2 linked regions of the Canis lupus familiaris genome follow. The protein of the gene in region 1 interacts with the protein of each later gene in a biochemical or structural test. Links are inferred from orthologs where the notes say so. Each region holds a gene or a part of one and is shown on either strand. Other genes may lie near its edges.

Evidence for each region.
Region 2: the proteins of CHML (region 1) and RAB1A form a complex in vitro, tested with the Homo sapiens proteins (2 studies listed by BioGRID). The link is inferred for Canis lupus familiaris from reciprocal best matches to the Homo sapiens genes CHML and RAB1A.

What each region holds. Positions count from the first base shown.
Region 1 is NC_049228.1:32,967,093-32,971,146, reverse strand, and holds CHML (rab proteins geranylgeranyltransferase component A 2), read left to right. Parts: upstream 1-1,254; 5' UTR 1,255-1,283; coding exon 1,284-3,239; 3' UTR 3,240-4,022; downstream 4,023-4,054. UniProt on the Homo sapiens protein: Substrate-binding subunit (component A) of the Rab geranylgeranyltransferase (GGTase) complex. Binds unprenylated Rab proteins and presents the substrate peptide to the catalytic component B.
Region 2 is NC_049231.1:65,878,057-65,882,326, reverse strand, and holds the start of RAB1A (ras-related protein Rab-1A), read left to right. Parts: upstream 1-1,470; 5' UTR 1,471-1,619; coding exon 1,620-1,642; intron 1,643-4,270. UniProt on the Homo sapiens protein: The small GTPases Rab are key regulators of intracellular membrane trafficking, from the formation of transport vesicles to their fusion with membranes.

The sequences.
Region 1 (4,054 bases):
GACCAGTATTATGCCAGAAGTTAACAGGAGAGCCTTTCTACACTGCTACCTCCTATCCCTTCAAAAAACAGCAAAGAACGTGTTAATCTTAGCAGAGGATGTTGAGACAGGCCTTTATCTTGGGATACAGAGATTCAAGGTCATAGAGCCAGAGTCTGGCAAAATGCAAGTCACCCTATGTTCTCTTGGATTTTTTTTTTCTCTTGGATTTTAGAAGTAGGTATTTTTTATGTTAAGATATTTTAATTTACAAAGGTAGGAATTTTCTGTTTTAACTTAAACCTAAAAAAAATACATGTGCATATGTACATTCATATGAAGATTTGTTAAAAATGCCTATTTTCCTTCAGTAGACCTGTTTGCACCTAAATATCTCGAAATGCCAGTTGTTTTAATGAATTAATCCTTTTGCAATAATCTGGCTGGTTAATTCAGTTGAAATGGTCTCATGATGCTACCACGAGATCCTAAGGGTGGTTGTGGCATGGAAATATCTTTCATTCAACTGTTCTAAAATCACCCACAGGCTAAATTGGCTGCAGAAATATTCCTCATCATGACAATGTGCACATAGTATGTAGTCTGTTTCCATAAACACGGCGGAACCACACATTTCTTACAGTCTAAGCTCACAGTTCTGTATAGTTTGTTCAAATATTTTATTAAAAGCAAAAGTTACAGAATTATATTATGGAAATCCTTTGCTTAATGGGACATCATGATGTCCCTTCCTCATTATTGCGTGTTTTTGGGGGTAAATCTCTTTTGTCCATTTTTGAGAAATTAGAAAATATGTAAGAAAGCATTTAATGACTTGCTTTCCTAGAGGCTTATGTCTTGATAACAAGTCAGACTCCAATGGAGTAATTGTAATTGCTGTTGCATGAAATTATTTTTCTCTTAATATTGTTTACAACTGTATTCTTTCTTGAATTTTCTTCTTTCAGAGAAGAGTTCCAGTCACAAATGCATGTGTGATGCATTTTGACATTTACTGCTAAGATGAAATGCAGGAATGAAAACCACACATCCGTTTTAGTGTTCTCAGATGTGATTAGATATACCTTACCTATTTTTATGCTACTGACTTATAAGGAAAACAATATTAAGAAAGGGTAACTGTTAAACAGTTAGGACCTGCAACCTCAGGACTTCTGGGATGAACTGGAGTATCACAAGGAGAGATTTTATTACAGCATATTCACACCTCCGCTGAGCCCTCAGCCTTGACTCACATACATTTCTTTTATCGACGGTTGTCACCAGACCCTTTATCTCCCAGAATGGCGGACAGTCTTCCCACAGAGTTCGATGTGGTCATAATAGGGACAGGTCTACCTGAATCCATCCTGGCAGCTGCATGTTCAAGAAGTGGTCAGAGAGTTCTTCATCTTGATTCAAGAAGTTACTATGGAGGAAACTGGGCAAGTTTCAGCTTTTCGGGATTGCTCTCCTGGTTAAAGGAGCATCAGCAAAACGGTGACAATGCAGAAGAAAGCACTGCTTCATGGCAAGGCCTGGTGCATGAAACAGAAGAAGCCATTGCTCTTCGCAAGAAGGATGAAACCATTGAACACATAGAAGTTTTCTGTTATGCCAGTCAGGATATGGATGACAATATTGAAGAGATCAGTGCTCTGCAGAAAAATCCTTCCGCAGTAACATCTAAACCTCTGGATTCTGTGTGCTTGTCCGAAGAAACAAACTCATTACATGTTACTAGCTCTGAAACGCATGCCAAAGACACTCCAAAAAGTGATGAAGAGATTTCACTGGAAGTAACTGATGTAGAGGACATCTTGGCAGAAGAAAAATGTTGTGGAGATAAAACCTGTATAAACACAGCTTCAGGTGGAGATAAAGATGAAAACAAACCTATAGAGGAAGATAACACTGATCAACCAAAGAGAAATAGGATTACTTACTCTCAAATAGTTAAAGAAGGCAGGAGATTTAATATTGATTTGGTATCAAAGCTGCTGTATTCTCAAGGATTGCTAATCGATCTTTTAATCAAATCAAATGTTAGTCGTTATGCAGAATTTAAAAACGTCACTAGGATTCTTGCATTTCGCGAGGGAAAAGTAGAACAGGTGCCTTGTTCCAGAGCAGATGTCTTTAATAGCAAAGAACTCACTATGGTTGAAAAGAGGATACTGATGAAATTTCTTACATTTTGTTTAGACTATGAACAACATCCTGATCAATACCAAGCTTTTGTGCATTGCTCATTTTCAGATTACTTAAAAACTAAAAAATTAACCCCCAACCTCCAACATTTTGTGCTGCACTCAATTGCAATGACAGAGTCCTCTTGCACCACAATAGATGGCCTTAAAGCAACTAAAAACTTCCTTCGGTGTCTTGGACGGTTTGGCAACACTCCCTTTTTATTTCCCTTGTATGGCCAAGGAGAAATTCCCCAGTGTTTCTGCAGGATGTGTGCAGTTTTTGGTGGAATCTATTGTCTTCGCCATAAAGTTCAATGCCTTATAGTTGACAAAGAATCTGGAAGATGTAAAGCAATTATAGATCACTTAGATCAAAGAATAAATGCTAAATATTTTATTGTGGAGGATAGTTACCTTTCTGAGGAAACATGCTCAAATGTGCAATATAAGCAGATCTCCAGGGCAGTGCTCATTACAGATCAGTCTATACTCAAGAAGGCAGATTCAGATCAGCAAATTTCCATTTTGATAGTGCCTCCAATGGAATCAGGAACATGTGCTGTTCGTGTCACTGAATTATGTTCTTCAACCATGACATGCATGAAAGACACCTATCTGGTACATCTGACCTGTTCATCTTCTAAAACAGCAAGAGAAGACTTAGAGTCAGTAGTGAAGAAATTATTCACCCCATATACTGAAACAGAAATAGACAAGGAAGAACTCACAAAGCCAAGACTCTTGTGGGCTCTTTATTTTAATATGAGAGATTCCTCGGGAATCAGCAGAAGCTCATACAATGGCTTACCTTCCAATGTTTATGTCTGCTCTGGGCCTGACTGCGGACTGGGAAATGAGCACGCAGTCAAGCAAGCTGAAACACTTTTCCAGGAGATCTTTCCCAATGAAGACTTCTGCCCCCCACCTCCAAATCCAGAAGATATAATCTTTGATGGTGATGATAAGCAACCTGAGGCTCTTGGAACCAATAATATAATCATGGCCAAACCAGACTCCTCTGAGGAAAATAAAAACCCAGAAAGCCCAGAGAACCACCTTCAAAACTAGAAAGGAGCAAGCTGGAAATGCTCTTTTGGGCCTTCATCCTGACATCAGAATATTTTCATTTAAAGAACCATTTCCTATGTGATTAATAAGAATTGGTTATATGATGAATGCTATGCAGATGTTGTCTTTACTTCTATTTGAGACATTCAGTCACGGGATCTTGTTAACTTATCAGCAACTGATTGATTGATTATTGGACAAGGTTAGCTCTATTTTAGTATTGAGTATATAAGTGTGGGTTCCAAATTAGCAACTGTGCGTACTGGGAGGTAATACATGTCTGCTAATGATCTTCAGATTTATTAGTCTATAAAAACAATAATATCTAAGGAATAGTTTAGTTATTTTTGTAATTATTACAGTTGCTACCATGTCTGAATAGTTAAACACACAGAATAAATTATGTGGGTCTTTTGTATATAATACAAATGTACAGACATGGTGGTAGCAATAGCAACTTATGCAAGTGCCAAGTGTTAAAAGATTAGCTTTGCATGATCCTTTATTTGTGAAGGTGTAGTGTTTACAACACATTGTGCAGTTCAGTTCCCCTACTTGACCCTTACAAGCAGCAGGGCAGTGACACCACCAGTCTTCTGTATTACAAAAAGTGTTGGACAGTTCATCTAGTCATTGAAGAGCTCATTCTTGGAAAGTTTGTCCCAAAGGAAATCTAAGGGTAAGGTTAGTTCTGGTTTAATACTTCAGAAAATTCCTGCAGAGCCTTGTGCTGGCACCTAAAAGAAAAGAACTTCCAACAACTAATTCAGGTCAAGAGAAAAAAAAAAAAAAAAAAATATATATATATATATATA
Region 2 (4,270 bases), on another chromosome or scaffold:
GATGAGGTTGTCAGCTAAGGCGCAGGGTAGAATTTGGGGGTTAAGGAGCACATCGTTTAGTAAAGCGGGGAATCATCGCTCCCTTCTTTCCATATTTTGGTGTCATGAGAATTTAAAGTGCTTTTGCAACCGCTTGCAGAGGAGGCAATTTTCTTGGTTCTTAGCGCAAGTTGGAAGATAAACTTTGGACAACCTATTACACTATGCCCTCTGCAGTTAGACAACCCAAGATAATGTGTTAAAGTTTACTGGAGGTTTAAATTCCTGAGCTGATTAAAAGAAGAGTTACGACTATCAATCGGGTCTCAGAAATGTTGTGAATGCCGTTCCCGGAGTCTCTAGGCACCGTGCAGCGATGCGTTAGTTGCACCTTCCCCTCGCTTATCATTCTTCAGTCTTGCAGAGCAGCTCCGCCTTGAGTAGCTAAAATTACAGTTCGGCTTGAAGCCTGGGACCAGGGCGGGAAGACCCTGAATTTCGGGCCGACTCTGGGCTGCACCGCGGCCACGGAGAGGCGCGGCCCCCGCAAAACGGTGGTGGGCTCGGGATGCAGCGCGGTTTCGGGGAGATAATCCGGCTGCGTCGGCCAGCGGCGGGGGCAGAGAGGAGGCCGAGGCTCCCGTCGTCGCCGGGCCGGGTGGTCGGAGCCGGGCTGCACGGGGAGCCGGGGGGCAATGCGACCAAGGAGACGGCACCGTGTGCGGCCAGCGCGGGACCGTGGCCCTGCACGGGGACCTGACCCAGCGGGGCCGGCCGGCTGGGGAACACCACCGAGCTCCGCGCTCTCCGGACCCCCGAGGTTCCCAGTAGGGGCCCCTCAATTCCTCCTCCGTCCTGGGACCAGCTGGGAGCTCGAGCTCTCAGCAAAGCACTGGCCAGGCGCGACCTGCAGCCCGCATTTCCCCCGCGGCCCCGCCCTCCAGCGCCCCGCGGTCGCCGCTGCACCCCCCCCCCCCCCCCGCAGCGCCCGCAGCCCCCGCCCCCGCCCCATCCTCTGTCCGCGGCCGGCGCCGCCCTCCGTCCCTCCCCTCCCCCTCCCCCCTTGGGGCGCCGACGCGCCCTGCTGCCACGTCTCACTGATGACATCACCGGGGCCGCTCGGGCTTAGCCAATCCGCTAGGGGGAGTCCGAGCGAAGTCCTAAGCCAGCGAGTCAGCGGGGCGGGGAGCAGGGAGGGGCAAGACGGGGGGGGGCGGTGAGCGAGTGGGGCATGGGGCGGGCGACAAGCGCTCGAGTGCGCCTGCGCCGGAGGCGCGGGGCTTGGCGGGAAGCTGAGTCGCGGCGGCCGCGCCGCCCCGTAGGCCTTCGGCGCCCGCCGCCGCGTTGGAACTCTCTTTCCCGGCGTGCCGCGCGGTGCGGCCGCCCTCCGGGCCGTGTAAAGACCCCTCGGTCTAAGGCTTTCCTATTTCCTGGTTCGCCGGCGGCCATTTTGGGTGGAAGCGATCGCTGAGTGGCGGCGGCTGCTGATTGTGTTCTAAGGGGACGGAGCAGGGGAAGACGTTTGCTCTCCCGGAACAGCCCGTTCTCGTTCCCGTCCCTCGATTACCCGTGGCGTCGAGAGTCGGGGCGGCGGCTGCGGCAGCAAGGGCGGCGGTGGCGGCGGCGGCGGCTGCAGTGACATGTCCAGCATGAATCCCGAATAGTGAGTGCAGGAGAGCACCGGTCGGCTGGGGCCGTGGGGCAGCCCGGAAAAGCCTAAGGGGGGGAGGCGAGGAGGGCTGAGGCAGAGGCGGGGGCCTCGGCCAGGGCGGGCGGACGGTGGTAGGGCCGGAGATGCCGGGAGCCGGGGCCCATTGTCTGACGGAAGAGGGATCGGCCCGGGGGGGGGGGGCGTCAGGGGGGCCGGGGGGGCCGACGGGGGGGCGCCCGGGCAGGTTGGAGGCCTTGAATGCCGGGCCAGGGCGGAGGAACAGTCTTCGGAGGGGGGGGTGGGGCGGTGGGAAGGGGTAGCTTCACGCCCAGGCAGTGACTTTGGAAGGAAGACTTGTTTTTAGGGTGGGAGGGCTGCCCTAGAGGGCCCTGTCGGGGCCGGCGCCCGCGCCCGCCGAGCTGTCAGAACCGTCGCGGTGGGAAGCCAGCCCCACTTGCAAATCTTGAGCTCGTTGGCTCCGTCCTTTCACCCCTCCCCGGCCAGGTTGCAGGTAACACGGATGCTTTTCAGGACTGCGTGGGATGGAGCGGGGAAATGAGTAGAAGGGGAGAACAGATTTTAAATTTTTAGTGGAGGGGGGGTTTAGGTTATTTCCTGGAGTTTTTTTTGTTTTTGTTTTTTTTCCGAGAAGTCACGACGGGGCCCATTGCCTCCCTAAAAACCTAAGCATTTGTGAGATTTCCTTTTTTTCTTTTTTTTAGAGGGCACTGAAGTCATTTGGTCTTGTGTAAGGTCGAGGAAAAGAATAAAGAGAACTAAGACGTAGGAACGTTTTTTTCTTTTCTTTTTTCTGATACTATCAGATTAAAGGAAGACTGCTGTCAAATTGAAAGAGAGAACGAAGGGGCTCTCTATGTAATCCGTAGGTTTTGGATTACCTGCTTGAATACTCGAAGATAGGGAGTGAGGTTCCATGACGTGTCATGAAAAGTTAATGCATTTCTTTTTCTTGCTCACTCAAGAAGTCCCCGCAGCATATGTGACACACCTGGCACCTTTCCTGGGAACTGGTGTTCACCTTCCTTGGGAAGACTTCGTTGGGTTCTCCTTCATGGCCCTTTAAATTCCTCCTTGGGTTTACCTATATAAATTAACGAATAATTGGCAGACATTTAATTGGTATTCCCCTTCAGCGTCAGAAGGCTTGGGGGGGGGGGGAGGAATTTTTTTTTTTTAAAGGAAAAAATTGGTATTTTAAAAGCTGTGAATGTATTTGCAGCTTTGGTCATTTACTGCTAAACATTTCCCCTAAAGGTCCACCCATCAGTTTAGCTGACTGTCATGTGTGTGTCACATGGCTCTTGCAAAATGCATTCTGACTTCCAAGTTTTGTAATAACAGTGGTTTGAAGCAGAAATGTCCCCTTTTGCACTAAACAGAAGCCGTGGTATTTCACTAAAATTTTATGTTCTTGCAGAAGTTGAGGCTGGTGTTCTCATGGTGCCACATTTGGCCACGGCGGCAGTTTTTAGTTTCTTTATCAAGGGCTCCGAGGACAAAGTGGGTTTTGCATAGTTAGGGAGAATGGAACTTGAGGTACCTAATCTGGTGGTTTTCCTGGCAACAATAAAGTACATGGATCTACCACTTTACGGAGACTTGTAAACCTCCTCTGTTCAGGGAGTTTCTTATATTTGCTAAGTATGTCAAGTAGCATAAGTAGATCTTTACGATTAGTTGGACAGAGCCATGACACATTAGCCTCTGAATTTGTTTCCCCTTTTGTAAAATAGGATAATAGGAGTCATTATTCGTATCAGGGTAGTTGTGAGATTTAAGTGCATGTAAAAGAAAACATAAGAGGACTCTAGGTGGTGTTATGTCATTACCATGTACGGCATCGTAATAGTGCTGGGATTTAGGAATACAATCCTTACCCTCAAGGAGTTTATAATGGAGTATAGAAAACCGTTATATATGTCAAATACCAGTAGATCTAGTTTGTTCCAAATTTACAGGATGGATAGGAGCAACAAGATTTCAAAGGAGGGTGAAGGATTGTGGTTGGCTAGTTGGTTTCAGGAAAATTTTATAGAAAAGAGAATCCTAAGAGAATTATTAACAGATTTAGAGAAGCACTAGGGAGTGAGGAGGATTTTTCAAGGGGGAAGAAGGAAGAATGGTTAATAAATGGCAGTGATAGTAATTCTTCAGTAAATACCGTGCCAAACATCCATTAAATTAATGACGTTAACAGAATCAAACCCAGAAATTATACTTTTTTGCCACCGAGTATATGCCAGTATCAGGTCTACTGTATTTGTATTCTAGACTAGTAACATAGGAGTTTGGAAAAACCTTTGGAAGAGCACTAGTGAGAGGAGGTGATGGGTATTTTATTAGAGGAGGTCACAAGGGCAACCAGCAGGCAGATTTTTAATAATGTGACTTCAGCAGGTTTTTTTTTTTTTTTTGTCTTTAATGAAGTTTGTTACCATCAAAAAGTAATTAGTGGAAAATAGAAGAAAGAAGGAAAGAAATTCTTAGTTTAATTACTGAATACAAGTCCATTTACTTTTAATACCTTGTTCTAAACTTTAAAACCTTGTATTTTTTCTTAAATTAAAACTTTTAGTGGGTGAGTGCCTTTCATAATTCCATGATGTTGTCTTAATACCT